Mus musculus: one gene and its partners. The main gene of each other region encodes a partner of the protein of the gene in region 3 in a complex. Links are inferred from orthologs where the notes say so. Each region holds a gene or a part of one and is shown on either strand. Other genes may lie near its edges.

Region 1 (3,638 bases), on a different chromosome or scaffold from region 3:
CAGGGTTTCTCTGTGTAGCCCTGGCTGTCCTGGAACTCACTGTGTAGACCAGGCTGGCCTCGAACTCAGAAATCTGCCTGCCTCTGCCTCCCAAGTGCTGGGATTAAAGGCGTGCGCCACCACTGCCCGGCAGTTCACAGCATTTTTACCAACAGCATATCACAGGATGGAAGATGTCCTTAGTGTTTCAAAATCAGTGTCAACTAGACCAAACTTTGGTGGGCCTCTCTCAGCGTGCAAGGGCAGGATCCAGAGGGTAAGGGAGGAGGAACTGGTACATCTGCCTGTAACAGCTCAGGAACCCTGAGCCTGAGGGGCTTCCACGAAAGACTCAGTGTTTGCCTTGCCTGTCCCTTCACAGGCATGTGTCAGCTCAGGGCTCCCCATCAGTAGCAGGCACACCCTGGGCTTACAAGCATCCATGCTGTTTGGGGGACACAGAACCTCTAGGAAGCCACCAAGTAGAAAGGTCAGAAGTCAGCTGCACACAATGCTCTGTGTCACTGAGCCATTTTGCCACGGGAACTCTGTCCAGACACTGCCCGAAAATGAGGGTCCAACCTTCATGCATAATTCAAAGCCACAAAAGGCTCACTTGCCTCTCTAACTCCAAAGACAAAAATGAGAGAGCATGCTAACCCTGACAAAGGAGGACTGAACCAGCTGCTCCCAAGAATGAGTCCCAGGCTTCATTCTGTGGTCAGTACCCCCATGCAGATATCTTCCTGGGTTGGCGCACTGTGCTCACCTCTGCACACGCTCCACCAGGTGCACCATCAGCTTGTCTGAGATGCCAGGACAGGATTCCTCAGCCAGGCTGAAGGCATTCTCTAGCTCCTCCAGGGCACCCACGCTCCCACCGCTCTGCTTGTGCTTCTCTTTGAGCTGCAAAGAGAGCATGGACCTCACTGGCATCTTACCTGGATGACTTGGAAGACCTACAGAAAGCACAACAGCGCTGCACAGGTAGTGCACTTCTGCCTTGTTGATGGGGACTCTTGTGGCTCTTCCATCTTGAGGATCCTCTCTCCCCTGACTTGGGTTATCAAGAGGTCAGAACCATGTGGTTTCTTACAGACTGAAGGTCAAGAAATAATCAAGTGGATCCAGTCTGATTTAGAAACTGGCACAGAAACTCTTGAGTACTCTACAAGGACTTTTGACAGACATCCCAGATCAGACTATAAAGTGTCAATAACCATTTCTGGGACTTTAACTCCTGCATGTACTCTTCCCTAAGGAGTCATCTGCTCAGTCCTGGACAACACTACACAGTGTTCACAACACAGCCCTAAGTGGCTGCTCCTATTCTGGCTAAGGTCACTCACTCTCTTCAGGGAGAAACACTCGGCTATTTCCTTTCAACTACATCCTGTCCTCCGTCTCTGTGCTCTAGGTGCTATTGTCACCCACTGAGTGAACAACCTACTGTCTACAATCTACTTTCTAGCTTCAAATCCGTATGTGAACATTCATTCCTGGCCGCACTGTATTTCTGAAAATATTCTAACATCAGGCAACAATGACATAAGGTCATATAGCCACCAAGGAATCACCTCCCTGACCTAGGTCTGACCCAACAATCCTTTGTCTTCCTCTACGAAAGAATCATGTAGTGGTGAGGCATTGTAAAAATCAGTAGTGCCGTAATGCCAGAGGACCTTAGCAGGTCTGGGAACACAAAACGGTACTGGTCAGGTCAGTTCCTCCCGCGCTTTATGGTACAATCCTCAGGAAGCTGGACCCACAAGCCTGTGCATAACTAGCTGCAACAGACCCAGAAATCAAATAGATAACGTCCAGGCTCACGGCCACTAGAACACCACACACCATGGCTCTGCAGACAGCACCTCTAAAGAACAAAGCCAGTGCCCTACATGATCACAGGCTTAGCTCTATTCTCACCTCTCCAAAGACAGGACGGACTAGTGTGGACAAGCACTGGGACCTTGGCTGTCTCTTGATAGGCTCTGCAGGCTGCAAGGAGGAAAGCAAGACACTGGGTATGTGGAGATAAAGAGAGGCTCCATTTCCTGTCTTCTCAATCTGTCTTGAGCAGGATGACAGAGCACAGACCAGGGGTCAACTCCAAAAACTACAAGGCAGCCCAAGCCATCAGTTCTTATCAGGCCTGTCTGTACCTAAGCACCAGCAGACCCAGGCTTCAGCCTGACTCCTAGATAGTTCAGTGCCACTCTGCCCTGTCCTTCTCAAACTTTTTGCCCAAACCCCAGATAATGAGTGTTTAATATAGCCCTAGGTCACAGGCACTTTGGAGCTGACCTCATCAAAGCCTGATACACAGTAGTCCACATCTGCTGCCCCAGGAAAAGTGAGGCGGGCTGGTACATATGGGGCAGTGCTCTGGCCCAGGGCATGAACAGACCTTCTGTGAGCTGTGCAGAGCAGTTCCCTTGTGCAGCTTGCTATGTGGACTTGGCCGGATGGTTGGAGGAAACGTCCAGATGGGACCCTGCTCCCCATCCTCAGCCTCGCCATCACTAAAGAGGATAAAGAATCAGAAGAACTGATGGAGAAAGGGCAGGAAGTAAACATGGTACCAAGGTACATCTCATTTCTCTGAGGCAGCCTCTTAGCCTAGGATGCCCTAGACAGTGGACAGAACTCTGTCCAGGCTGCAGCATTTAGGTGATAGTCAAAAGGCCCTGTCCTCCAGCCTACAGGTTCCCTGCCCAGTACAAGTTCCCACTGTAGTAACCAAGCCCTGCCTCTGGAGAGAAGACCTCCACTGGCATCAAGCACCAGGGAGCTCTTGAGGTCCAAATGAAAAGAAAAAAAGAAAACATTCCTACATGTCAGAATCCTCAGAACTGGACTCCTCTCCATGCCCCTCAGACTTCCAGCGCTTATATCGGTCAATAAGTTCAGTGAGAAAGGAGGTCTTCTTGGTGTATCGTGTGATGAATTTGTGCTTCAGGAGCTCCTTGGCAGTGGGTCGCTGCCAGGGAGACAGACAAAGTCAGAGCTGAATTCCACCCTCACAAAAGACACAAGGAAGGACAGGTAAGGATGTGAAGGCTGGGCCCTGTCCCACCAAGTTTACATCCTCCCTTCATAAACTTCCCCAAACCCCTCAGCTGCCTGGGGTGGCCCAAGTGGATATAGGCCTTACGAATCGTGGGTCCTTATTGAGGCAGGCCTCTACAAACTCCTTGAAGGGTTTGCTGTGGTGGCCCTCCAATGTGGGTGGGTTGTTCTTGGGAATCAGGAACAGGACTCGCATAGGGTGGAGATCAGAGTTTGGCGGCTCCCCCTTGGCCAGCTCAATGGCTGTGATGCCCAGGGACCAGATGTCAGCCTAGAGAGTTATCACACAGGACAGTTGCTACGTGAAACATTTTGAGTGGTGGCAGTATACTCTCACCTCCCATCCAGAACTCACCTTGAAGTCATAGGCCGACTGCTTGATAACCTCAGGTGCCATCCAGAAGGGTGTACCCACAAATGTGTTCCTCTTGATTTGTGTGTCTGTGAGCTGCCCAGCCACACCGAAGTCTGCCAGCTTCACATCACCCTGCTCCGAGAGCAGCACGTTGGCAGCTGCTCAATACAGGATAGGTGGGCATCATCCTTGGCTCCACAGCCCCCCAAAATAACCCTGCATGCAACTCCCTGAC
Region 2 (4,400 bases), on a different chromosome or scaffold from region 3:
CCAGCACTCGGGAGGCAGGGGCAGGCGGATTTCTGAGTTTGAGGCCAGCCTGGTCTACAAAGTGAGTTCCAGGACAGCCAGGACTACACAGAGAAACCCTGTCTCGAAAAACCAAAAAAAAAAAAAAAAAAAAAAGAAAAAAAAGAAAAAAAGAAAACGAAAAAGTAAAAAGTAAAAATAGAAATGAGCTGCCATGAAATAGGCCTTGTGGCCCAAGCTTGTCATTTCAACCTGGGAAAGCTAAGGCAGAAAGATCCCAAGGTCAAATTTGCTTGAGTTAGGAAATAAACTCAAGACCGCCACATGAAACTATGAATCTACTTCAAGGAAGGGCGGGAGGGAGAGAGGATAGGGACAGGGACAGGGACAGGGACAGGGACAGAGAGAGGGAGAGAGGCAAGCAGGCAGGCAGGGTAAGTAAGTAGGTAGGTAACCAGGTATAATGCTGAATGGCTTTAATACCAATACTCAGGAAACGGGGAAGCAGAGCTTTGCAAATCCCAGGTAAGCCTGGGCTACATGGTTGAGTCCCTGTCTCCAAAAAAGGGTGTGAGGGGTGGGGAGAACCACTACTTCTAGAGACTGTAGTGTATCTACCTAGCTTGCTGTGTATAAGGCCCCTGACTGTGAAAACAAACATTCAAAGCCACAAACTCTACAATGTAAAACACATTTCCCAGGGACATTTGTTTCTAAAAGTTAAAAAAAAAAAAAAAACCCACAAAATCAAAAATAGTATAATTATGTTATTACTTGATGCAGGCACATGGACACACACACAAGGGTCTAAAGTACTACTTGAAGCACCTCAGAGAAGCTGTCATCCGGCGCCTCTGCCAAGCATGCCGTGCGTTGCAGCCTGGTTATGTTACTTGCTTTCAGAAATAGGTGAAGTTGGATACAGTGGGCATGCCCAGATTTGGGAGGCAGAAGTAGGCTATCAAGACTTCAAAGCTAGCCTGGGCTACTGTTTCATTACCTCCCTTGCCTCATAAATACAAAGAAAATACCATTTATGTAAAAAGAGAGGAAGGCAGAGAGTCAAGAAATTTAATTGAGAGAAAATGGGTCTCCAACGAGGCATGGAATCAGGAGTGGCAATGCTTTATGCACTGCATTCCTATAAACTCAATACAGAAAATCACAGGGTACAAGAGTGCACAGAGGGGGCTCTAAACATCTCCCACAGTGTTACCCTAAGTAGTCATGAGTCTATACACTGTGCAAACAGAAAGACATAAGTGCTAAGATTTGCTTCTATTAATAGTTAGATGAGAAAATGTGAGATTTCAGACTGAAAGTTTTAATAGACCATACACCCAGATCTCCAAGTATCATACCCACCTCTGCAATCTCAAGGTCCTGATTGATAAGCCAAGTCACATTTTACACACACACACACACCCTCAACTCTTAATTTATCATGCAGAACTTCAAAATTTGGTCAACATCTCACAGAGCTCTAACTCTTTCTAATACCTTTCCTTACAGGAGTACAACTAATGAGAAGATTCTTCTCCAACTCCTGCGGCTCATAGAGAAGAAAGTAACAAGCAAAGTTAAGGAAGGAGGGTGCTCTCCTAGAGATCATCCTCTGTAGAGTTGGAAAGGAAGTGGAAAGGAAATAAACATTTTTCTGAGCATTGGTTCTACCTGCCAAGTTACCATGTAAAATATTCATAACAGTGCTGTAACTCAGACACTGCTGCCTATGTCTGCTGGTAAGGAATAGTCAATATTCAGGGTCAGCCAAAGGAGACAGAAATAAAACCAGCCTAAATAAAAGTTAGTAGTACCCATAAATCTAAAATTTGCGAGGTAACAATATGAGAAGCAAAAGTAGTAGACTTTACATTCAGTAAAGGGAAGGGCCTATATCCTCTACAGGACACGTGCCCAGGTAGAAATAACTTTACATTCAGTACAGGGAAGGGCCTATATCCTCTACAGGACATGTGCCCATGTAGTACCTGAAAGCAAAAGAGGAACACTTACCGTTGGTAGACAATAAAAACTGGGCAGCATTTTTCTGGGGTAACCACCTAATTTTGTTGATCTTCTCTTCTATTTCTAAGCTTTTCAAGTAGTCAAATTCTGGCTCATGGCTCTGGAAGGTGCTGTAAACATTGTATTCTCCTCTGCTATGAGACTGGATTTTGTTCTACAACAGAAAAAAATATTGGACTATGTTGAGAAATATATCAAATCACAATCAACTCCAACAGACTGAAAATTGTAGATACCCCAACTAGGCTGCTTTATCGTATATGCTACTGTATTGTTTTCTGTATTTAAAGGCCTTAAAGGAGAAAGCTTTATAAAGAGTAAGAAGGAAACACTTAAGAAAGTCTCATTTAATAGGGAAACAGTAGACCAAATACAAACTGATTTGATTAACTTGCATATTAAATAGCATGGTTATACTGTTTAAGAAGAAAACTGAAAACCCATAGTAATAGATAACATTTAAATTTTAAAATTAGGAAGACACTGCTCAGAAACAGCTGGCTGGAACACATTTTGTCTGCTGTTATCTAATGTGATGGCTGGCCTTCTTGTCCTTTCTGAAGCCTCCTTTCTATATTTCACTACTGAAAAGCCCGTAAGAAATGTGCTCTCATAAATCCAACAATCCAAGTCCTACTTCAGATAACGTTGCTGCCAGTTAAGTATATAACAGCAGCCTGTCAATGCCTGCCTGAAACTGCTTCATGGCTTACTTTCCTGAGTTCTTTCTGGTCACAGGAACTTTACACACTGATGCTTAGTGCCAGTCTGCTGATCGTCCAATTGAAGGGATTTGATATAAACACTACTTGAGAAGTGTTTCCATTAACACTGGTAGCCTAGCAAAACTAAGAATTATAATCACACAATTTCATCTTGTGACCGATTATACAATTGGAAATACTTTCATAAAAAAATTAAAGTAAAACTTACTAGAATCTTTGGAAAAGTAGATTAAATGAAAATACAATTGTATGTAATCACTTTAATGAAAACCAAGTTATCAAGTAAAATATTTATAGTTAGCAAAATAGCCATCTTCTCGTCCACATCAGAAGAAACCTGTTAAATTATCTTGGAAACATGTGCTTTGGTTTGTTTCTTCTAGCAATGCAGCCGGACTGTTCACTTCTTCTTGCATACATCAGTCATTAGTGAATGGGCTGGTCAAAACATTTTCAGAACATACCAAGAGCATATCCAACTATGGGGTGTGTTGGTGTGCCACACTCATGTCAAATTCCATAATGTATTTGTTTTTTCTGTATACTCAAACATCACATGTTGTCAGTCTTACACACCTAAATTTACCCAAACAGCTGCATGAAATAATAAATGAATCTACAATTGAGTTACTATTATTTTTTAAGATCATATTTAAACAATGATACATAGTACTATGAATATCTAAGGCTTAAAGGGAACAGAATCCCCTATATCAAAAGTCTACCCTTCAAGTACCCAGTGTACAAGAGAAGCTACACATTGAGTTATTTCATGAAAACCATAAACCTATGAAAACATAATTTTCAGAAACAGAATCAGGATACCATCAAAGATTCCTCAAGAATCTCACACAAGGTCCACACCTGATCTATTTGAATCTATTACAAAAACATACTACAAACAAACAACCACTAGGAGTCTGGCAACTATAAGAAACATCCTTTCCCTAAAGGGAAAAATATTTACACCAGAAAATAGTATCTTAAGGTTAAAAGAAGCCACATGCCACTACACTACAGAAGAGAAACTCACTCCCAAGACAAAGTAATAGAATAGATGGCCTAGCACTGAAAAAGCAAAAACAAAACCCCTCAGACTCCAGACGTGAGCTTGCAGCCAGCTGGGCTTTTCCTCCAACAGAAGAACCAATGCTTAGGTTAAGCAACCATGGCAGCTGTTCTCTAATGAACCCACGACGTGAAAAGTATGAAGAAAAAGAAAAAGGTAAAGTGTGTTACCTTCAACACACATCAACGTCACGTGACTTTCTGGGATTCACTTAAAACAAAAAATGAGGCCTGGAGAGATGGCTCAGTGGTGCCAGAGGTCCTGAGATCAATTCCCAGCAACCACATGGTGGCTCACAACCATCTGTAATGGTATCTGATGCCCTCTTCTGGTCTGTCTGAAGACAGCATCAGTGTACTCATGTAAATAAATCTTTTTTAAAAATGAAATAAAATAGCCCTCATACATTTGACCATGTTCTGTGCTTCAGTTTTCTTGCATGGCCTTTTAATACACCTAATTTCTTAGTTTTTGAGCACCACAAAAATCTATTTTCTTTACCATGTGCATTATGCGTAAAATTTTGCCCAACAGAGTCACAAGTGGCTTATCCTCAACACCTGTACTAGTAGTGTCTGGAATGTAGGAGCCTTCAGGTT
Region 3 (4,400 bases):
AGTTAGAAACCAGTGTTTTTCTCACTGTTTCCACTGTGGAACCCTACCTCATGGCCTGACTGGAGACTCCTCTGATCTCTCACCCAAATTCTTGGGATAACAAGCTTCCTATAAGAATCTCTCAGGAGGTCCATGTGTGTAGCTCTCAATGTACAGTAAACACTGATAATAGGGCTTCAATACCCATGAACTAGGCAAGGCTATTGCATTGCTCACCTTTTTATCACACCTTCTATGTGAATCTTGTAAAACAGTCTTAATACTGCCCTCATTAATCAAAGAGCAAGTATCAGAAGTACACAGGTTATGCAAATTGCCTAAGCTGCTAGCAGCCATGATTACTTGGCTCTCCTTTTCTACACAGCAGGACCTGTCAGGATCAGATTCTGTCTGTGTTCCCAGCTGTCATTCAACAGAGGTTGAATGGTAAGGTATGGTATGGTATGGTATGGTATGGTATGGTATGGTACCATACCATGCCATACGGGTCCTGGTGCAATCAAGCAGACAATCTTGACAATTCATCTGTGTCATTTACTAGGTAAGAGTCCCAGATGAGATGGTTTAACCTCCTGATATTCTATGTGGTTCATCCATCAAGTAAACCTTCCAAACCAAAATGGTAGATGACACATCTTACCCAACCATGACAATCACAACACCTAACTGTGAATACTTACTATAGACAAAGTATTGTTTGTGGGCATGTAGGTCAGTTATCAGAGGGGATTTTAGTGGCCTCCAATTTACACAGGCAGACAGAAAGATCTGTACTCTTCAGAGTCATACCAGTAAATAACAGAACCTTGCATGACCCAAACTCACAACCTACAGGTAGAGTGCTACTGAGTCCTAGTGTGGTTAAGTATGCAGAATGGAAGGCAAGTATAGATTAAATGACACTACTAACTTGAGTTAAAGTTACATCCAAAGGTGATTCATTCTGAGGTCCTATTTAGCCTTCCTAAATCCCGTTTCTTGGTGTCCATAGCAGAACCACCTCTCTAACCCCAAGGTGGAGGAGGAGATTAAGAGACTTCACAGCTTTCACTCACCAGCAGACAGTGCACATACTCAGGCCCTCCCACCAAAGTTGTGAAGGTTCCCAGCTGTTCAGCCAAGGCCAAGAGGACCTCATCTTCATCATAAATGGTATCTGTGAAACAAAGATCAAGTCCATTAAAAACTCAAGCACAACCCAAGCTTCCTCGATGTCAGCACCCCTATCTCCCAACCTGCCATTTCTCTCCACCATCTACCTGGTGAGCAGAGTAAGCCCAAGCCCCATATCTGCCTTTTCTGCCCCATGCTAGGTGTGGGATGGTAGCTGAGTAGCACAACTATTCTAATCCTAATTGTGGCTTCTTCTCAACAGGGACAAAAAAGAGCACATGTATGCAGCACAGGATGTTCAGTGGAGCTTTAAATATGCAGGAACTCACTTTCAGGAGCTATGTCTTCAGCCAAGAAGTTGTTTTCTACCCTTTTGGGCTTGGTTCAGATACTGCTTCTTGCAGATTCCAAGCACCTAGATTAGGTCAGATCCTTTTCCTGAACTCATTCTCTCCCCCTCCTACCACATTTACTAAGTACCCCTATCAGGAGCTTTGATCATCTGTGCCCAAGACTAGATTTGGCATGCTCCAGCTCCTGCCAGAACTAGAATGGCATGTGAATGAAATGACAGGGAAACTAAGCCTGCTGCCCAAACTCAAAGGCCTCTCTCTCAAGCCCTGCCTCTGCTGAGGAAAACGCTGACCTCATCTGCTGTTCATCAGCATTTTAGCATTCTCCACCTTGGACTTGCCAAGATGTAGCTAAGCAGAACAGCCTCAGGAGAAACCTAGACTAAGGCTACTGATACCTCAACCTCACACTTCCAGATTCAAGAACAGCAAAAACACAGCTGTTGAATATGCCCAGCCTGGGGCCTTTCCCTAGAAAACTACGTTTGTTGATTTTTTTCCTCAAGAAACTAGCTGAGGGGCTGAAGGGATGGCTCAGAGGTTAAGAACACTGACTGTTCTTCCATAGGTCCTGAGTTCAATTCCCAACAACCACATGTTGGCTCACAACCATCGGTATTGGAATTCAATGCCCTCTTCTGAAGAGAGTGACAGGGTACACACATAAAATAAATACATTTTAAAAATAAGCTGAATGTCCTATGGATATGAGCTCAGAGGTCTTCAGTTTGTGCTTGCTGAAACATTATCACTGGTCTAGAAATGTGTCTGCCACTTGTTCTAAACAGTGTCTGAGCTCAGAGCAGAAGAAATCTGACATTACTTAGAATTTAAGAGCTCTTTGGTTGCCCACACTTCCAGGCTCCCACAGTTCTTCCTATCTGGATTCTCTCTCTCTCTCTCTCTCTCTCTCTCTCTCTCTCTCTCTCTCTCTCTCCCTCCCTCCTTCCCTCCCTTCCTTGTTCTCTCTTCTCTCTCTCTCTCTCTCAAAAAAATTGCAATTTTTAAATAATACACCTGGAGAGTATTTTCCTACTTAGAGAACTGCAATAGTAACTCACACATACACTGTGATTTCTAACATTACAATAGAAGGAGAAGAGCAAGACAGGCCTAAACCATGGCCTTCTGGCTACAGGGGCTTTGTTCTCAGACATTACCTTGGCGACTGGCTTGCAACATCTGTGCCTCCCCTCACACACTCTGTCTATATACACACTGTTGCTGCATCTGACTCCCTCTGTATTTCAGCACCATGTCCACCTACAGGATTAAACCCAAGAGGCTCCATATGGTACAGAATGGCAGTAAAAGGCAACCCTAGGTGGCTCTCCTAGTGTCCCTATTCCTGATAGCCTTTTCATGCCACTTGCATTCCCTAGTCCTTTACATTGGTTATTCTCAGCTGCACAGCTCAATCCTCTCAGAATCACCCACAGCACTTACTATACATCTACACTTCTTGTAAAACAGCCTTTCAACTAATGAGCTGAGCACAAGTAGTGGAGGGCACTCCTGGGATAAGGTTATAGCAGCTCATTTCAAACCTAGGGCTAAATGGCTTTTCCCCTATACCAATTTTTCATGTAACTACTTATCACAACAGCCTGCTACTCCAACACTTGTCTCTGTGTCAGAATCCTAAATCTTTTGGCTCCCTCTTATAGTTCATCAAAGGAAGACACTTGGTTTGGTACCACATGCTAACGTCAGATGCAAATACCTACTCTTGAGACTATGTGTAGTCAGACCTGTAAACTTGTCATTAGCTGTAGCATGTGACAAAGCACTGAATCTCCACAGGTCTCAGCTACCCATGTATCAACTAGGCCTTGGCCTATCACTTCTTCCAGGTCATCTACAGGAGATTATCAAATACAAATCACTTCTGTCCGTAATAAATAGCACTTAGAATCTTTAGTTCCAACTCTTAAGTAGACACGAGTACAGCAGGAGTAACATGAGAATAATGACAGTGGAAATTTAGTAAGGTGGCTCCCACCATGGCCGCCACTGTACTAAGTACTTGGTGTGCACCTTTGTACAATGAACTTGGTAAGAGCTAATTGAGCCCACTTACCACATGCCTTGCCCTGTCCCTGGACCTTCACAGGAGCCTTAGTCTTCATTTAAGTTACAGAATCATGCTTGTCTTACCCATGAACCCTCTGAAGCAGATGGATGTGAAATATCTTGCCCAAAGTCATACCAAAGGAAGTCAGGAAAGCAGAGATGTGAAATCAGACTCCAATTCTGCACAATTAACTAACCCTGCTAACTATGGAGCCTAAATATAAAATCTCCTTTAGTCATGTCCAAACATAAAAATCTGATGGAAATTAGTCACTTCATCGTTCTATGCCTCAACTTCCTCACATACAGATCAGCAACAGTAGCATTCGATACTTTAAGGTGTTGCTGTGAGACTGAGATGAAAGGCACTGGAGATGGACATTTAAGAGTATAGGCACCATTCTAATATACACGCTAACTCAGTAGCACAAAACAGGAATCCAGTGGACAGTTGGCATGTGACAACTATGTAATAAAAGTTAATGATTATTGCTCTTTAATGCTCAAATCAACAACAAAAATTGGAGATTATCTTCATTCTAGAATGAAAAAAATAATCTGCTAAACTTATCTAAGGTCAACACTAACAATTGAAACTGTGATTCAAGCTAGGTTCGATTGCTTTGTCTTTCCAGATCATTCCCTTAGAAGACTACATTTAGGCTCCTGTAGAGTACTGCTCCATGCTACAGTGGCATAGGGAACACTTATAATGTATTAACTTACAGGGAGGAATCTTGATCACTTAGCAAAAAGCACCCACCTGTCCTCACTGCATTGGGTCCCAGGAATGCTTACCTGTAAGGAAGGGCAGGAGCTCACTTCTGGTCCGTTCAACCCCAAGGGCCAAGGCAATTGTGG
Region 4 (4,095 bases), on a different chromosome or scaffold from region 3:
AAATGTTGCCTGTTCAGTGACATTCAAAATTGCCTCTGGTATTACACTATCACTTTGAACAAAATCTAAGTCACTGCCCTACACAGGAATTTACCATCATCTAGGAAGAAGGAAGTTTGAGACCTAAGGAGGAACCAGAGTAGATACTTAGAACTATAGATAGCTGAGTTACATACATTTACAATGGCCTAGGGGGAAGGTGGACTATACAATAGACTAAAATAGGAACTATGGCAAGGGCACGAAGCCCTTGACCCTGGTTTCTAAGATTAAGTGGATCTTAGGTGGAGCTCTTTTTGATCCCAGTTGTTAACAATGAATTCTATCACAGGTGGTTCCTGTTAGACCTTCTGTGTTTGTATTTCTCTGTTTTGTGAAAGAATCCAGTAACCTCTTTGTACCTTGCGGGTGTGTCACCCAACTTCCTTATTTTCTTCTGTATAAAAAGTTTGATGCTCGATTTGACAAATTACATTCAGATTCTACACAACCTCTCTTGTCTCTCTTGCATCTGTCTGTCATTCCATCCAACGCTTTGCCCACCTGCGACTAGAGACCCGTTCCACGCAGACAAAGGGGCCCAGAGGGTCTGCGGCATACACTGTCTTGCTTCTGAATGCTACATGAGCATTGAGGCCAAGGACATATTTAAGGAACATCACCTCCAACACTGCATGCAGAGGTGCTTTTATGATACACTGAACATACTCCAACAGGTCTGTATGATCCTCTTAGCAGCTTACTCGAGCCACAGCATCCAGGACTCAAATGTCAAGAACTACAATCGGCTCATTATGCACTGAGTTGCTGCTGTGAGTGAATGAGCTGTGCTCACTAAAGGATCTCAAAGCCAATTCAGACTAAGACAGAGACGCCCTGAAAACACTTCAGACAGAAGTGACTTCTGAAGAGACCGTCCAATACAGCTCACCTGGGAGCAGACAGGCACTGGCTGAGCCTTGTCCCTGGCTGCTGGAACCCAGGGGAGGTGCAAAGCCATAGCCATGTTTGCAGAGACAACCAGGACCCTGCCACTTAATCATCTGATGTTGTAGGAGGGTCCACTCAGAACAAAAGGCTGTGAGTGTCTACTTGAAATCTAGGTTTGAATTGACAAGGATGGCTAATGCACCATACCGACTTCAAAGGTTTAATACCAAGGAAAACAATGTAAAATATCCTACTAGATAACTGTTATTATAAGCTGATACAGGAAATTATCAAAGTATTACTAAAATTAATTTTGCTTGCTCCTCTTTATGTTCTTGATATAGTTTCTAGAATATTTAAAATTCTGTGTGTGAGAAGGCTGGGTGACTCGGCTCAGTGGTAGAATACTTGCCTAGCATGCTCCAGACCAAGAATTAAATCCCCAGTACCACAAAAATTCAGAGAGAGAGACAGACAGACAGAGAAACAGACAGACAGACAGACAGGGCACTTTCAATGTTAAGAAACAAATATCCAAAATCTTCACATTTGGGGCCAGCAGGTAAAGGTGCTTGTTGTGTGAGCCTCGCAGCAAATCCTGATCCCTGAACCAGAAGAAAGGCAGAAGGAGAGACAGGACTCCATGCACCACACACCTGTACCCTCCCAATAATAATCAGTAAAATATTTTTAAAGTAATTGAAATTCTTCCTCTGGCTCCTATTGAAGGAAGATAAAATATTGTAACTTGTGAGTTGTTTAAGAGCCCACTGCCCCATCTGGGACTGAGAACAAAGCAGAACAAGCCCCCAGGCAGGCCAAGGCATGGCTGTTGATAAGGCATTCCAAAGAATATCTTGGCCGTAAAGATGAAAAGGTATTCAAGGACAAATGGGGCTACATTATCTAAGTTCACACCATCTGGCCGGAACCTCCTTTCTGTTACCCCTTGGCGCCGAGTAAAGTCATATACATCAACTGGTTGTTAAGTGAACAAAGATAAGCCCCCAGCCCACAGGAACAAAGTCCTGATGCACTGTGTTCTTTCTGTTAATGTTTGAATAAGCCAATAGTGCGTCGCTATGCTGAATTCCACACCCCTAAGCCCCTTACCCCATAAAAGCCCCTGGCTTTCGAGCCTCGTGGCCGGCATCTGTTATCTCCTGTGTGGGATTCATGCTGGTCCGGAGCTCCGTAATTAAACGTCCTCATGTAATTACAGCGAGTTGGGTCCTCGTGTTTTTTTGGGTGCTCTCACACTCCCGAGACTAGAGTGGGGGTCCCCGAAAGGGGGTCTTACACTATCACATTTCTACTAGAGCTGGCAGATTAGGTGCCTCAGCAGGGGACAGATCCAGCAACAAGAAAAGGACCAACTGGGCATACATACATCATACTACCTGTGCCTGAGCTACTAGGGAAATCAAGTCGTACTTACCAGCCACTCATACAACATCAGGCAACCCTGGACCACATGCAAAACTCCTGAAGGTGACAAACAAAAGCTGTGTGGTGGGCCTGAGCCCAGCTACATGGAGGCCAAGGCCGGCTGCCAACATGGCAGGCTTTGGGGGGTGGGGGTGGGGGGACAGGTCAGAGGTGCTGACTGTAGGCGGGCCTGATGCTGCAAAAGAGTTAGATCCTTGAATTCAAAGAGGGTGGAAGGAAACCAACTGCTGAGAGCTGTCCTCGGATCTCTGACCACAGTGTGCACACATGAGTGCACACATCACAGAAATGCACACATCACAGAGTGCACACATCACAGAGTGCACACATCACAGAGTGCACAAGTGACACCTTACTATTCCAAGCAGAAAACAGAATGCAGGATAATAAACAGACACCCTTTCTGGGTGTGGTTCTGCTTTGCTCGTGACAAACCTCTTTTTAAATGAAAATCTGATGCCACTACAAGGAAATTCAAAGTTGTCTTTTCCTTTACACTGTAACACATTGTTTCCTTTAAGATTCAAATCAGGGCAATCTTAAAAAGATATTGTCTCCTCCTCAATGGCCTCAAGACTGGGGGCCAACAAGCAAACCATCTTTATTTTTTATGCCAAACAGTAATGTCTATTCAACATGGAGGCTACGTGGCTAAAGCCACGAGGTAGAGACAGGAGCTAGGTAGCTCCTAGACACCAGAGCACAGGTTTCTAAGCAATGTTCTAAGGAGGGCTTTTGAGTCTACTACACCAAAGACCCTGGTATCTGAACATGATCTTGGTGTGACTGAGGCTGTCTCTCTCTCTCTCTCTCTCTCTCTCTCTCTCTCTCTCTCTCTCTCTCTCTCTCTCTCTCTCTCTCTCTCTCTCTCCTCTTTAGACTGCTGCATGTAGGTGTTTTAAGGCATCTTGCATTTCTTTGGCAACGGCTACAAATACAAAGCTCCATGTTCCTTTCCAGACTCAGGTCTCCCATTTGTAGAATTCAGAACAAGACTTTTCCCTCAGGAGAAGCCCATGGCCCAAGGGACAACAGAGCAAGAATGAAAAACCCCAGAGATATACCAAGGTGCAGTCTGTGACAGTTCCTAGTCTAAGAAGCCGTGCCAGCACCACCAGGCTCCCCTCCTGCAATCCAGCCCAGCCCAGGGCCGGTTACCTCTGCAGCCGCTGCACAAGCTGTGCCACCATAGTGTCTGAGATCCCAGGGCAGGCCTCTTCCGCCAAGTAGATGGCTCCCCGCAGCTCTTCTATTGACCCCAAGTTCCCTCCGCATGCCTGGCTCTTCTCTTTCAGCTGGAAATGCACACAAGAGCAGTGTCATACACGGGCACAGGGCTGGGCAGCAACCACTCCAGGAAGAGACAAATAGGCCCTGCCAACACTGCCATGCCAGGCTGACAAGGGCCCAGTATGAGCTCTGTGGCTCACGAGTCACTCTGGGTCCTCATCTTCTGTCTCTGTAAGCAGTTACATACACAGTGACTCTTCCAGACCAGAACACAGGCAGGTAACTGCACACCTTCACACATGAGTTTGATGAACACTCCACCACTTTCTCTCCCTTGTGCAGCCTTCTGCTCACCCCTGAAAGTGTCATCAATGCCTACATGTACAACTGTGGCGTCACTGGGCAGCTACAGTGTGGGTCACCAAAGCTTCGTTCCTGATGGTTATGGGCTGGGTGCAAACTTCAGGCACATAGCCTTTGGGGTCA
Region 5 (4,400 bases), on a different chromosome or scaffold from region 3:
AGCCCCTGAGCAGCAGCTTGGCTTCTGACACTTATCAATGGAAGCCCTGGTCCCCATGCACGCTGCTATGGCACACGGTGTCCCCAACATGTAGGAGAGAGCCCACGTGCAGGAACAGCCAGATGTCCACTGATGGACGCTAGGCAGAAGGTGACAAAGGCAGAGTGCCACAGAGAGATGGCTATGACCAGCAGCACAGTGAACATGGCGGATGTTCCATGTTCCCACGCGATTCCGAGTTTTATAAAAATGCAAAGAAGAGTGTGATGGTGTGTGTATGCTCTCATCACACACAGACACACCCTTATGCTTGCTTCCTGGACGCCTATTAGACAGACATAAACTGAGCAACAGTGACCTCTGCAGGGGAGGATACAGGACACAAGAGTACACTGTTTTTTTCTGCAGTACTGGGGATGGACCCCAGTGCCTTGAGCATGCGAGGCAAGCGCTCTACCGCTGCGCTACATCCGCAGCCTGAGGTCTACTTACTTCTATACCTGAGCATTTATTACTTCTGCAACTTAAAAAACTGAAGCCAGCTGAGACTGGCCTAAAGGAAAAAGAAAAAGAAGAGAAGATCAAAAAGTCAATCCTGAGTATGTGCGGCTTCCAGGGTTAAGGGACAACACTGCCTCACTGCTCTGTTGCAGGACCCTTTGGATGCCTGTGCCCTTCTCTGCTTCTCCTGCCTCTGCAATGCCTTATGTGGCCCAGGGAACAAAAGAGGCGGAGAAGCCTGGCAATCTGGAAAACGGGCTCTATGGGTGACTGCCTAAGATCTCACTATGGCCCTCCATGCATTTATCAAATGCTCTTGGCACCAGTGAGAACCAGGGGCAAGTCAGCAGTTACACAGTACAGGGACTATGGGGAACCAGAGGACAGGGAGACATGAGTATAGTGGCAGGCCCATGCTCCCATAATATTTGTTTTACAGCCCTCTGGGGTTATTTGTGCCCACTTAAACTAGCAGTGGTTTGCAGATACTGAACTGAAGACAGTGAAGGTCGGCTTCCTGAGTTCTGTCATTTGTCTTAGACTCAAGTTTTAAAGTAGCTCTCAACACAGCACCTCAGGATGGATTGGCTCTGGAGATCTGTGGCTTTCCAGCAAGGTCCCTGTTACATAGTGGTGATTTCTGTAGTGCTGTGGATGGACCCTAGGGCCTGGTCCACAGTAACTAAGGACTTAGCCCTTAAGCCATACACTCCACTCCTTTAAGTTCTTAACTTTACATAATCTGACTGATCTATATGTGGGAATTGACAATACTTAGTAAAAGCATTACAAACCACAGGGACAGTTTAAACAAACAAACAAACAAACAAACCAGTCCTGGCTCTTACACATCATGGAGCACACCACTTGAGGGACTCACAGTACCTCTCCAAATATTAAGACTGACACAGCTCTTTAGCCCTCACCTCTCTTACTCTCTAGTCCTCCTTCTCTCTCTCTCCCTTCCCCCCTCTCTCCAGGTGGCCATGGCCGGTCTCTCTCTCTCTCTCTCTCTCTCCCTTCTCTCCTTTCTCCCCGCCTTTCTACAATAAAGCTCTAATACAATTAAAAAAAAAAAAAGAGAGATTGACACAAAGATGCAAATGTGAACAGGGCCACATTTCCTCAGAAATAAGATTATTTACTTCTCAGATATCCTAAAATGCTAAAATCTTTACAGTAAGAAAAAAAAAAATCCAGATTTGGTTAGAGGCTGGTGAACCTCTGATTCTGTTTGAAGCCTTTCTCTAGTCAGGAGGCAGGCCAGCTCACCTCTCAGAAGGCAGGCCAGTAGAGCTCATCTTCTCTGGGTTGAGCCCACAGCACTCAGGTACTACTACTGCTATCATTTAACTTCACTGTTAAAAATATTTTACCCCAACACTACTCTTTTAAAAGGAAATATCAGAGAGGCATACAGGGTCAAGTTTGGGGGGAGGAGTGTTAGGGGGTGCCCCCTGCTGCAAGCCTTTCCTCTATTTCCCACTGAGTGTCTGGGTGGAATACTGATAGTTCATGTCCCAGTGGGGACAAGAAGGACTGTGGATTCCTTGGGCCTATCTCCTGAGCCAAGTATGCTGTGAAGTCTCATGTCCCATCCTGTCCCTCCCTTCCCATCACTCACTGTCGCAGAAGCTGTCGACCCTCCTTCCACACCAATGGGCTGTTCTCCAGTGTGACCGACTCTACAGGGCCATTGGAGACTAAAAAGAGAGAAGAGGAAGATGTCTCAGTCAGGGCATGGACACTCTCCAGTCACCCCTCCATCTTCTCATATCAAGTCTGAATGAATCTGCCACCATCACAGGCCTGTCCCCATTTCCTGAGTCCCCTCCACCCACACTCCCCCTCCGAGTGACTCCTCTCCTGGAAGCTCTCCTGTTAGGCTCTTGACTGGCCCCTGCCAACCACGGCCAAGAATAGCAGAGCTGTGCCTCCACATGCACGGCTGGCTGCTGCTTTCTTATGCAAGGAGTGGGTAGTCTAGCTCTAGAGAATGAGCAAGCAGGCTGGAGAGAACCGAGGGTAGCGGCTATAGGTGAGCTGGCTGGGAAGCTAACTCTATGCATTGCTCATCTATCCATAAGGCCTGGCTGAGTACCTTTGCCATCCCAGTCAAGAGCGTACATCTCAGTAGCAGGGCATGAAAGGAAGACCTCACTTAGCCCTGTAGGCAAGAACTCCACAGAGCCCCAGGACCAAGCTCCAAACATCACTGGCACAACCGTGCACACTGGTGCCCTTGCCACTGGGCCCACCTGACTAGACACTAGTGTGTCACCCGAAAACATTCCCGCACTCCCATGGACATCTGTTTCCTCCTTCCAGAAGCTTAAGCTGCCAATGCCCACAGAATAAGCACACATCTATTCTGCTCTCTGCTGTGCCCTGCTCTATGACAAGAAGCCAGCACCTCATATATTAATTGAGGTGGGGGGGGGGGGTTAGTGTAAATGACTGAATGACAACCCAGTGCAAACACTACCTCTTCAATGAAGTTTTTCCTAGACTTTCCACAGCACACCATAAATAGTTACACTCATTCTCACAACAAAAGGATGCAGGAGATGCTGGGCCATCCATCATGTCCTTGGGAGGACAGCAAGATGGCAGACAGGTAAGGCTGGACACAGTCTGACACAGAACTGGTGGGAAGAGCCCCTGAGGTTGCAACTCTACCCCACCCTATGGCCATGTGCAACTTCTCTATGCCAAGCAGCTGCTCTGCTGGGGTGGCCGCAGGAAGTTGCAAGGGTGGGTACCTTGTTCTGACAGATCTGTCTTCTTCTCCCCCTGATTCAGGTCTGTACCAAACTTCAGTTTATGATATTTGGCCCTAAAAGAATAACAAATGAGCTGAGAGAGGAGAACAAACAGGATAAGGGACCACCTCAGGAAACCCGGGGCCTCCCTCATCAGCTCCCTGCCGCAAGCATCAGTTCTAGAATTCTCAAGGCTGTCTCCCCTCCTCCTGAAGTCTCAGTTCCTTCCCAGACGGCAACACCATCAGACTATGGCAAAAATAAGCAAGGTAGCTGCTGTGCAGAACTGGAGCACATAGTAGGTGTGCTCAAGCCACAATGCTGCTGCTGCCATTTGAATCCCACCCACTAGAAGCTCCTTTATACTCCTAGGGATGACAGCAAGAGGACAGTAGAGAAACTTCCTTTGCCAGCAGAAGTGTAGTTAGCAGCCTGCCACCTTGTCAGAACAGTGACCTCTCTAGCAGGGGCAGGGCTCACCTCTCCTGCTTTAGTGCATACTCCAGCATCTTGATCCGCCGCACCAGGTCCGTCTTTAGATTCTCTTGGCCTTTCCTCTCCCCCTGGAGGAAAGCCACCTGAGCCTGGGACAGAAAAGAAGGGAGGACAACAGGTTCAGGGGTTGTCTCCCTCCATATTCAAACACAGCTTCAACCCCTCCCCTACATCGATGTCAGGGTTCAGTGAGAAGAGATGACATGCTGGACCCACCTCCAAGGTCTCTAGGTATGTCACCCATAAAAGAGCTCAGTCTATAATCTCAGCATTCCCTAGGGATTGCTATGAGTTCAGGTCCAATGTGGGCTAAGACTCTACCTTTACAAAAAAAAAAAAAAAAGGCCGAGGAGTCACCTTTAACCCATGAAGTTCCAACAGGGACAGCAGAGCCTGACTTGGCTGTAGCCTTCTGAGGAGTTAGGTCAGGGATGGTGCTGGGGGTATTAACAGCCCTGGACTCCTCTCTCCCCCCATCAGCTGCTGTCCCTATGGTTGCTGGTGGAGGTGGTGTCCCACTATTCCTTCAGAGCATCTGTTGCTGGGAAGCGTAGGAAGCTACTTCTGGCACTCGGGGACAGGAGTAGGAGGCTGGGCTCAGCTCCCACTGCAATGCAGAAGAAGCTGTTCCAAGCTTTATGC
Region 6 (4,263 bases), on a different chromosome or scaffold from region 3:
AGTCAATCACTCCACCCTGATTTGGGGAAATATTGCACATTAATTTAAAGAACACATGGCAAATTCAAGATTTCTTGCTACTTAAACAACCTAAAAGTTGCTTGCTTCTAACTCTAACAAAACTATAGGAGACCATTATGATCCCAGAATATATTTCTACATTATAGTTTTTGGGAAATACAACAAAACTATTCTAGGCTAAAGGGTCATGCTGCATGCTGTGAATGTGTTTTAGGTCCCTGTATAATTTCAAAGATGGAAAAGCTGTCTTCTTTAAATGTTGCAGCAAGTGCTTAAGAACTACATCTAGAAATAAAAATGAAAATAATTGGATAACGTGCTACTTCACTTAGATGGAAAGTGGCGGAGCAAGAATCAATAATCTTTGCTTGCTGAATGTGAGATGACTATCCTGTACAGCTAAGGACTGACAAATTAATAACTTGGGGAAGGCACACCATGCAAGGCAAAGTTGATCATTTCAAATATGTGATTCCCATTTCAACCCACCTTAATTAAGATCTAAAAATCCAAGAGATAGCTAGCTCCCATAATTAAACAAAGCAAGGAGCAATGTGACAATGCTCAACGGTGAGCACTTAGCAAACCATCTCTATCCAATAAAGTCAGAACAAATTAAATAAAGACCAGAAACCACATAAATCAAATAAAGTCAAGCCAAATGAAATAAAGACCAGGAACCCTTTTCTGGTGATCACACTGAGTAGCCCAGAATCACACAAAGTTGATGAAGGGGAGGCACCAGTGTGGCCGCATGCAGGCAGGCGCCTGCTCACAATGGAGAGAGAAGCATGGAGCCTCTGAGCAGTAGCCATATGTAAAGTTCTATGTCTCCACATAATAGAAAGCTGTGCACGAAGGGGGAAAGTTCACGTGTCGTTCCAAACCAGGCAGAGCAAAACCAGTTCCTATTGCAAACTACTACTTGTCCAGATACAAGCAAAGTCAGACTTCAATGAATGGCGTGTGGGGCAGAGCAGTTAGGGAAAAGAGAGCCAGAGATGGAGAATGCATGAGGAAAAAAAAGTTTGGGGCACTGGGAAAAACTGAAATGGATTAATACCACAAAAAGCCCCACTCTTTCTATTTTACATTTCTTTCCCTCCCCTTCCTGAGTCTCAACCCAGACCTGCCCTTAAATACAGGAGACATGTATGTCCTGTACAAATGACCCCTTTGAGGAGAAAGGATATTTTTAAAAGCACCTTTTTATTTTTATCATAAATACAATGAGACCAGTCAGCACATGCGGCAGTAGACAGAGACTCCAATTCACAAAGTTTGGACTCCTAGTAGAAGCGTAAGCTATGCAGTGGTCTCCACATTTCAGAACTTGAAATAATTTGTTTGTTTGACTTAGCATAGTTAGAAGATCATAAGGAACCCAGTCTCAGTGTTTTTAGCCTCTGACTTATAACTCATAAAGGGTTATTTAGGTTGCCATGGGGGATACCCCAAATGTAAATGCTTTAAAAAGTTAAGAGTGGTTAAAAAAACAACAAGATGTGTAAAACATTTGTTGACATAATTTTCTTTAACGAAACGATAGTATAATGGGAGGAGAACTGTATGGATTTTGAGTAAAATGTTGGGTCCCACACTTTTTTCCCCCTTTGCGCTGGACAAAAGCTTAAGTACGTGTACCAACCACCTTAGCAGACAGACAAGGAGAAAGGTATGTGGAGTCATTACCTAGGCCCTCAGAACAGGATCCTGCAGTCCTTGGAACACTACCCACTGAGCTAGGTAGGGGAGCGTGATAGAAGTTTGCTTCTAAGTGGCACCAAAGGGGAAAAGAAGGCATCTTGCTCTTCTGTCTTTGCACACAGGAAGAACCAAATTCAATGCCTCCACCACTCCTGGTCTCGCTCCGCCCCAACCTCTGTGTGTGTACCGTGTGGGGGCACCTCTTGGGTGTTTTAGCCCACACATTCCAGGACGCCTCTATCTCATCGAGGTTAAGTTCTGGGACTCCCCCACGCTGAATCCTCAACTGTGCCACGATTAACAAGCCAACAAGTACAGGTGCCTAAGGTTCTGGCCTATTTTTATACGTGTACTCCCCCCCCCCCCACACACACACACACCAACACCAACTGAGTCTCTCCCCAGTCGCCTCAATCTCTCCAGTGCAAAACACCTTCTAGCCCGGACGCCAGGAAACACCTCGAGCTTTACTTCGGGGTCACCTGGTGAGAGATCCGGCCCTGCCTTCAGGTTTGCCCCGTGGCTGCCCTGGTCCCTGGTGCCTGGTGCCCAAAGCGGGGCTTCGGAGCAGTCACGTGGGCGGCACGGGAGGCCTGGGCTTCCTCACCTGCATCCCAGGCACTTGAACAGCCACCGGTGAGTGGGCCATGGTGGCGACTGCTACTTCGCGCTGCTTCTGCGGTGGTGGCGGTGGCGCCTCCGGCAGAGACTGGCTCCTCCTACGGAGGTATCTCTGCAGCTCTACCAGGCTTCTCGATCGAGGCCTGGAAGGACGCAGAGAAGTGGAGTTAGTGGGCTGGTGGCTTGCAGCCTCCACTCCCCCCATTCCGCCCCCCCCCCCCCTGCGGGGAGGTGAGCGGTTCGCGCCGCTGCTCTCCCGGACTCAGTTTACCTACCTCTCTGCCGCTCGCCTGCCTGGCTTTTGGCTAACTGCAGTGTTGCTCTCTTTCCTGAATGCAGGGCTTGACCTGTGGCGGTGCCTGGGACCTGGGCTCCAGTGATGCCGCTTTGCTGCGCCTCGCCGCTTTAGGAAGAGGAGGTGGAGGCACCCCAGCAACCCGCCCGAACGCTTAGGCTGGGAGGCGGCTGGGGGCGGTTCCCCGGTTGGCCCTGCCTCCACCCCGCTGCCGGGCGGTGTCAGGGGAGCTGAGGCTTCAGGCTGCAAAGGGGGTTGGCTAACATAGCCAGAGTTGGAGACGCTCGGGGCTCTCAGGGGTTGCGGAGAGCAGCAGAAAGGCGGGATCGGGATCGAAAAACTTGGAACATAACCGAGCCTGGAGAAAGAACAGAAGAGTTTGCGGGAGTGGGGTAGGGGAGATGAGGGCAACCCGGATGAATGCGGCCACGTTGCAGACAGGCTTGCGAGGCTGGGGTGCTTGTAGCCTCCCAGAGGTCTGGAGTTGCAAAAGTTTTGCTTGGCTCCCCCACCTGGCCAAGGGTGGGGCCACCGAGCCAGACACCTGCTCCTTCACGCCTAAGTTCCTTCCCTCTTGCAATTTTCAGCTTCCTTGCCCTTAGATATGCCTCAAGTCACTTTAACCTGAGTCTGTCCTTACCTTAGGCTATTAGTTGAGGAACGGCCTGGCTGAAATTGCTCACAATTTCTGCGCGTGTAAAAGAGAGGCAAATTGGAAAACGGATCATGTATTGGCAGAAAACTTAACAACGATAACAGAGGCAAGGAGCATGAGATTACATCTTTCCGAGTATAGATATTTGAATTTAGCATGCAGCACAGTGACTTCTGCAACTCTCTGCCTTCTTCTAATTTAAGTTCAACTCCAGGAGTGAGGCAGACCCTTTCTGGAGGACCCAATAACACAATAATGACAGTGATAATAATAGCAGTCACAGGAGTCTCAGGGAAGCACCTATGTGAACACCCGGGCTACTAAAGGTTACAGGACAAAATAAGATCCAAGTAAATGTGTAAAATGAGAACTCACCTTGAAGTTTGCCAGATGCCCGTGCAACCAATGCACACTCAACAAATGCTATTCTTTTTTAAATAATTTTTTTCTCCAAGAACAGTATCTGGTTATTATCAACATTAGTAGTAGTAGTAGATTTCGTTTTCATTGCCCCAGAGATCCCGAAATTTACCCTCTGTATATTGTAAAGAGTTATTGTGACAAGCGCTCACTTGAGTCACACTGCCTTCTCCCCACTGAGCAAATAGATCAAAAGGCTCAGCCAAGTAAATATTTGACTCAAATATTGCAATTAAAAAGCAATACATCTGAGAAGTCCAATCTGGGCCCCCCTGCCACATACTACCTTCTATTAATATGGTAGAAGTATATTAAATATGGTATTGATTTTACCTTACTCTTAGTGCTCCAAGCCTTGGCGTTCTCTCTATTCTACCCAATGGTAGGCCCTGATCTAATGTCTATTTCTCACCAGCTCAAGTCATTCTCTACAATAGCCTACCCAGAAACGTTCAGTGCCACCTACCTGTAATGTCCACAGAGACCTCAAAAAAAAGTTTGCTTGTTTGTTTACTTTGTTTGTTTGTATGAGACATGGTCTTGC
Region 7 (4,400 bases), on a different chromosome or scaffold from region 3:
AAGACCCCTACCAGAGGAAAGGCTTCTTTCAAATCATCTACAAGCCAGTTATCTAAAGGGCATCAACATTTTGATGTTTCTTTCTTTTCCTATAAAGAAACAAACTAGATAATGTGAAATAAACCACTGCGATATATTATACCCTTCCTCATTCGCTCTGCATCTTCATCCTTTCATCATTAATCCCAAGTCCCTCCGAGTCATTAAGTGGATGCCCACTATCAGCCATGGATCTGACTTTCCTCTGACTGTCCATCTACTGAAGAGGGTTTAGCTCCCATGGCAGACTCTAGGAATAAAGGACATCTTGCTGACAGCATCAGTGTCAAACTCCTTTCCTTCAGTTACTACAGTTAATTTGACAGGTTTCAAGAAAAGAACATACCTCCATCACCAGCTGGTGAGCTCTGGACACCAACGTGAGGCCATTGGCATGATTAAATGTCTCAGAAATATCTTGGCCAAAGGTATAACCAGCTCCCCGAGGAGATATCCCCCAGCCACCACGGTCATCTGGATCTGACCACAGCAAGTCACACATTGGACCCTAAAAAGCAGGTATAAGTTATTAAACTGACTTCCAAATGTGGAATTCTTCATTTGATAATTCACCAGAAGCAACACTCTACAAAAATCACATTCTTAGTATGTGTGCTGAACTTTTGCAGTAAAGGTATCTCTGAAATGAAAATCAATTCCCACAAGGCACACTGCACTCAGTAACTTGCCCCATCTGCCCGTGTATCTGAGTTTTATTATTAGACAGATGGGCTAGTGGTGACGACCAGGAAGGCTTCTAAACGTCTAATGAGCAATGGTAAGGAGCTCATGTCATTTCATTTTGAAACCCGAGTGAACATATGATAAATTATGCTACAGCTAAACGATTTTTGTTTTTCCTAAGGAGTGTCTGAGAATTTGTCAGCCATACCTCATGAGGAACTTCCTGTAGGCGATCGAGTGCTCGGATGTGATCCAGTGTGTCTATGGATGGTGACAGACCACCGTGTAGACAGAAGATCTAAAAAGATTGATTACAAGTGCTAATTACACCTAAGAGAAACTGAACTCTTTGGACTACACATTAGACAGGAGCTGACACCATTTAGCTACATCAGTTCTAGGCTCTGTTTCGATGAGGATGGACCCTGAATAACTGGCTATTGTTCGACCTAATACCAACTACAGAGTACAGTATCTATTCCTGTTCCTGACCAACCACCATCCCTGAGGTTCCTTCTAAAGAGTGTTTTTCTAGCTTACCCACAGTCCCTCCAGAGCCTGACAGTCCCCCTCACACTGGTAAACAATGCCTTCCATCTCCCAGACCCCTCTACAAAGAGCCCCCAAAGCTGAATAGGTTACATTTTCCACCCCATGATCTTATCCTGACAGTTCAGCACCTAGAAAAGAACTTATCAGTATTTAGTAATGTATCCCCAAATGGAAAATCACTGCCTGCTAAACACCAAGAAAACAATTATTGGAAACAGGAAGAAACCCAGAAGTGAGTTTTATGGTACACACACCTGCCCATCCACCAAGGCAGTGAGAGGAAGATAGTCAAAAAGGTCTGTGAAGTATTTCCAAACATTTGCATTTCCGTATTTCCTTAAACACTCGTCGTAGAACCCATAAACCTGTGTGATCTGTCTGCTCTCGTGATTCCCTCGGAGTATGGTGATGCGCTCTCGGTAACGAACCTAAAGAAAACGACAACAGATGCCAGCTCTTTCCAAAAAAAACAAAAAGCAAGACACTTCATACAACTTTCTATAGGTAAATCCAGAGTTCCAACTGAGAGGAGGAGGGGCTGAGAGTGCACATCTCTAAACTTCAATGAACTGAAATTAGATGATAAACTTTTTAAAACTGCTGTTGCTGTTTCTCAAGGGTGGGTTTCTCTGTGTAGCCCTGGCTGTTCTTCAGCTCAAGGAGATCCACCTGCCTCTGCCTCTTGAGCTCTGAGATTAAAGGCATGGGCTACCACAGCCTGATGATTATAAGCATTTTTAATTAAAGGTTTATAAAATGCTTACCAATATCTCAATTAAGACCAAACCCCCTGCACCATCTTGTGTGAAATAAAAATCATACTTTTTTCTGACCTTTACTAAATTTAGTTATGCAACAATTACCATAACTCAGTTTTAGAGTCTTGCCAAGATTCCTTCCCGATCTGCAATGGCCCCACTCTTCCAGCCGGACAACCACTCATTTATTTCTGTCTTGAGAATGACTTTTCTAGAAATTTTAGTGTTTCTTGTGCTGCATATCCCACGGAGCGCGAGCTATCCTGAGTCACCATGCTACAGCACAGATGAGGGTGTGCTCCTTTCACAGCTGCACACTAGCATCGGGGGAGGGCAGGCCACAACCCATGGTTCCTGTATCTGCTCCAGTTTTCCTGTTTCTTAGTTACTGAGCTCATCTGCTCACATGCTTTCTTTTCTCTTGAACATATTCCTAGAGTGTAGCTATTGGGCTACATGATCGATTTATATGTAACTTCACCAATTCTTTAAAGTGGCAAACTCATTTCACATTCCTTTTTTTTTTAATGGTTTTAGAGCTTTATTGTAGAAAGGCAGAGAGAAAGAGAGAAGGTAGAAAGAAAGAGGCCGGCCGGCCATGGCCACGTGGAGAGAGGGGAGAAGGAAGAGAGAGAAGGAGGGCTAGAGATGAGAGTAAGGTGAGAGCTTAAAGCTCGTTTCACATTCCTGACAGGACACTTGGTATGGACTGCAGCCACTGTCTTAGTAACCGACGTGAAGTTGGCACTTGGGACTTTAACGTAAGATTTTTCTAATAACTAATGATGTTAACTAGCCATGTCCTTACTAATCATGTATCCTCTAGTATGAAGTAGCCATCATGTACCCTCTAGTATGAAGTAGCCCTTCAGTACTTTGCCCATTTAAAATCAGATTATCGGTAGGCAACAGGGCGGCTTCCCGCTTGCCTCCTGCGGCCCTGACGCTGAAGCAGTTCATGAGAAGGCAGCAAGTTCTCCTCCTCTACAGAAAGATTTTGCGAGCGATTAGGCAAGTTCCAAGTGATTCTGACTAAAAATACCTTTAGGACTGGGCCAGGAAAGAATTTAAAAGAAACAAAAGTGCCATAGAAGAGGATACAATGATGATTACCCAAGGCAATATGCAGCTAAAGGAACTAGAAAGGACGCTTGCTTTAGCCAACTTGTAACTGAAAGATTTTCAGACCTCCATGTGCTTTGCACAGGCTCCAAGCCACTGTCACAGAACACCCAAAAAGGTGATAATCACTCTAATCAAGAATGTAAATGAAGCCGGGCGTGGTGGCACAAGCCTTTAGTCCCAGCACTCGGGAGGCAGAGGCAGGTGGTTTTCTGAGTTCGAGGCCAGCCTGGTCTACAGAATGAGTTCCAGGACAGCCAGGGCTACACAGAGAAACCCTGTCTCGAAAAACCAAAAAGAATGTAAATGAAGGTGTGTTAATAGTCCACTACAGTCAGTGGCTGTAATAATTAAATGTGAACTAATGTCAAGAAATAAACAAACAAATAAAATTAGATTATCTAAGGTTAGGCATGCTGGTCCATGTCTATAATCCTAGTATTTGGGAGAAGCAGAAGGATCAGGGTTTGAGGTTTCTTACAGCCTGATCCTGTCTCAAGCCCCCTCCCCCAAAGACTGCAACCAACTTGAGGACTTGAGGGTAGCCTTGGCTTAGAGACTGTACAACGCAAACAACACTCCCCAGAACCACCACACAACAACAATAAAAATAAGACCTATCTTATGAGATGACTGACAGTAAAGGTGCCTGTCACCAAGTCTGATTTTAAAATTACATTTCATTTATTGTGAGTGCACGTATGTGTCCTCTCATTTCATCCATGTGGGTTCCAGTGCTCAAATTCGGGTCATCGGGTTTAGTGGTAACTGTCTTTTACTCACTATGTCATCTCACTGGCCCAAGATAGCCCAAGTCATAAGACACAATATGGCTACATTTTATCTGTTAGCTGCCAGTTTGATTTCTAGGACCCATATGGTGGAAGGAGATAACTAACTACAAGACATATTTAGTGGTATGTTTGTACCCACACAGTGTTACACAAAATTAACAAGCAACTGCAAAAATGTTTAAAATCTGAAGTAAGGCTATAGCTCAGTGATGAATCTGTGCTAGCATGCAAGAGGCTGAGTTCAATATGAAGCACCAAGAATACAACAATTTGAACAATTGTTTTTATAAACTTTGCTACATTTTTTAAAGAATAGAAAATCTTAGTTTTAATACATTAAATTTTCTTGGTTTTTATGAATTTTTGAGGCAAGGTTTTATACATCCAATGCTAACCTAGAACTGTCCCTCCATCTCCTGAATGTTAGAATTACAAGCCTGTATAATTCATC

Evidence for each region.
Region 1: Ppp2r1a (region 3) and Stk25 share a complex: the UniProt entries of both Homo sapiens proteins name them as parts of the core of STRIPAK complex. The link is inferred for Mus musculus from reciprocal best matches to the Homo sapiens genes PPP2R1A and STK25.
Region 2: the proteins of Ppp2r1a (region 3) and Ppp2r2a are in contact, whole or in part, in a crystal structure (PDB 3DW8), measured with the Homo sapiens proteins. The link is inferred for Mus musculus from reciprocal best matches to the Homo sapiens genes PPP2R1A and PPP2R2A. Residues at the interface, in NP_055040.2 of Homo sapiens: Leu10, Tyr11, Ile13, Ala14, Val15, Ile17, Asp18, Arg21, Ala41, Leu42, Arg46, Glu50, Leu51, Phe54, Asp57, Thr58, Tyr60, Asp61, Thr98, Val99, Glu100, Glu101, Thr102, Trp140, Phe141, Thr142, Thr178, Pro179, Met180, Arg183; in NP_002708.1 of Homo sapiens: Pro103, Gln104, Lys105, Asn106, Ala107, Phe110, Lys123, Arg127, Lys129, Pro131, Glu132, Gly133, Tyr134, Asn135, Leu136, Lys137, Thr147, Val149, Thr150, Thr151, Leu152, Arg153, Val154, Pro155, Phe157, Arg169, Arg170, Asn186, Ser187, Asp188.
Region 4: Ppp2r1a (region 3) and Stk24 share a complex: the UniProt entries of both Homo sapiens proteins name them as parts of the core of STRIPAK complex. The link is inferred for Mus musculus from reciprocal best matches to the Homo sapiens genes PPP2R1A and STK24.
Region 5: Ppp2r1a (region 3) and Strn4 share a complex: the UniProt entries of both Homo sapiens proteins name them as parts of the core of STRIPAK complex. The link is inferred for Mus musculus from reciprocal best matches to the Homo sapiens genes PPP2R1A and STRN4.
Region 6: Ppp2r1a (region 3) and Stk26 share a complex: the UniProt entries of both Homo sapiens proteins name them as parts of the core of STRIPAK complex. The link is inferred for Mus musculus from reciprocal best matches to the Homo sapiens genes PPP2R1A and STK26.
Region 7: the proteins of Ppp2r1a (region 3) and Ppp2ca are in contact, whole or in part, in a cryo-EM structure (PDB 8UO5), measured with the Homo sapiens proteins. The link is inferred for Mus musculus from reciprocal best matches to the Homo sapiens genes PPP2R1A and PPP2CA. Residues at the interface, in NP_055040.2 of Homo sapiens: Trp257, Arg258, Tyr261, Met262, Glu297, His304, His340, Ala415, Lys416, Trp417, Arg418, His454, Val455, Tyr456, Ala457, Arg459, Glu460, Pro493, Asn494, Tyr495, Leu496, Met499, Phe503, Pro532, Val533, Ala534, Asn535, Phe538, Asn539, Lys542; in NP_002706.1 of Homo sapiens: Lys4, Thr7, Lys8, Asp11, Arg49, Pro51, Val52, Thr53, Glu67, Phe69, Arg70, Ile71, Gly72, Gly73, Lys74, Pro76, Asp77, Thr78, Asn79, Arg106, Tyr107, Arg108, Glu109, Arg110, Glu277, Leu278, Asp279, Asp280, Leu287, Phe289.

The regions. Positions count from the first base shown.
Region 1 is NC_000067.6:93,622,648-93,626,285, forward strand, and holds part of Stk25 (serine/threonine-protein kinase 25), read right to left. Parts: intron 3,562-3,638; coding exon 3,404-3,561; intron 3,320-3,403; coding exon 3,134-3,319; intron 2,999-3,133; exon of another isoform or gene 2,960-2,998; coding exon 2,814-2,959; intron 2,502-2,813; coding exon 2,387-2,501; intron 1,978-2,386; coding exon 1,906-1,977; intron 886-1,905; coding exon 749-885; intron 1-748. UniProt on the Homo sapiens protein: Oxidant stress-activated serine/threonine kinase that may play a role in the response to environmental stress.
Region 2 is NC_000080.6:67,026,870-67,031,269, forward strand, and holds part of Ppp2r2a (serine/threonine-protein phosphatase 2A 55 kDa regulatory subunit B alpha isoform), read right to left. Parts: intron 2,162-4,400; coding exon 1,996-2,161; intron 1-1,995. UniProt on the Homo sapiens protein: Substrate-recognition subunit of protein phosphatase 2A (PP2A) that plays a key role in cell cycle by controlling mitosis entry and exit. Involved in chromosome clustering during late mitosis by mediating dephosphorylation of MKI67.
Region 3 is NC_000083.6:20,951,371-20,955,770, reverse strand, and holds part of Ppp2r1a (serine/threonine-protein phosphatase 2A 65 kDa regulatory subunit A alpha isoform), read right to left. Parts: coding exon 4,338-4,400; intron 1,157-4,337; coding exon 1,056-1,156; intron 1-1,055. UniProt on the Homo sapiens protein: The PR65 subunit of protein phosphatase 2A serves as a scaffolding molecule to coordinate the assembly of the catalytic subunit and a variable regulatory B subunit.
Region 4 is NC_000080.6:121,288,443-121,292,537, forward strand, and holds part of Stk24 (serine/threonine-protein kinase 24), read right to left. Parts: intron 3,675-4,095; coding exon 3,538-3,674; intron 1-3,537. UniProt on the Homo sapiens protein: Serine/threonine-protein kinase that acts on both serine and threonine residues and promotes apoptosis in response to stress stimuli and caspase activation.
Region 5 is NC_000073.6:16,821,943-16,826,342, reverse strand, and holds part of Strn4 (striatin-4), read right to left. Parts: exon of another isoform or gene 4,116-4,400; intron 3,848-4,115; coding exon 3,744-3,847; intron 3,338-3,743; coding exon 3,264-3,337; intron 2,205-3,263; coding exon 2,126-2,204; intron 1-2,125. UniProt on the Homo sapiens protein: Calmodulin-binding scaffolding protein which is the center of the striatin-interacting phosphatase and kinase (STRIPAK) complexes.
Region 6 is NC_000086.7:50,839,908-50,844,170, reverse strand, and holds the start of Stk26 (serine/threonine-protein kinase 26), read right to left. Parts: upstream 2,801-4,263; 5' UTR 2,625-2,800; intron 2,493-2,624; 5' UTR 2,378-2,492; coding exon 2,336-2,377; intron 1-2,335. UniProt on the Homo sapiens protein: Serine/threonine-protein kinase that acts as a mediator of cell growth. Modulates apoptosis. In association with STK24 negatively regulates Golgi reorientation in polarized cell migration upon RHO activation.
Region 7 is NC_000077.6:52,115,290-52,119,689, reverse strand, and holds part of Ppp2ca (serine/threonine-protein phosphatase 2A catalytic subunit alpha isoform), read right to left. Parts: intron 3,205-4,400; exon of another isoform or gene 2,928-3,204; intron 2,693-2,927; exon of another isoform or gene 2,682-2,692; intron 1,704-2,681; coding exon 1,530-1,703; intron 1,022-1,529; coding exon 932-1,021; intron 548-931; coding exon 386-547; intron 1-385. UniProt on the Homo sapiens protein: Catalytic subunit of protein phosphatase 2A (PP2A), a serine/threonine phosphatase involved in the regulation of a wide variety of enzymes, signal transduction pathways, and cellular events.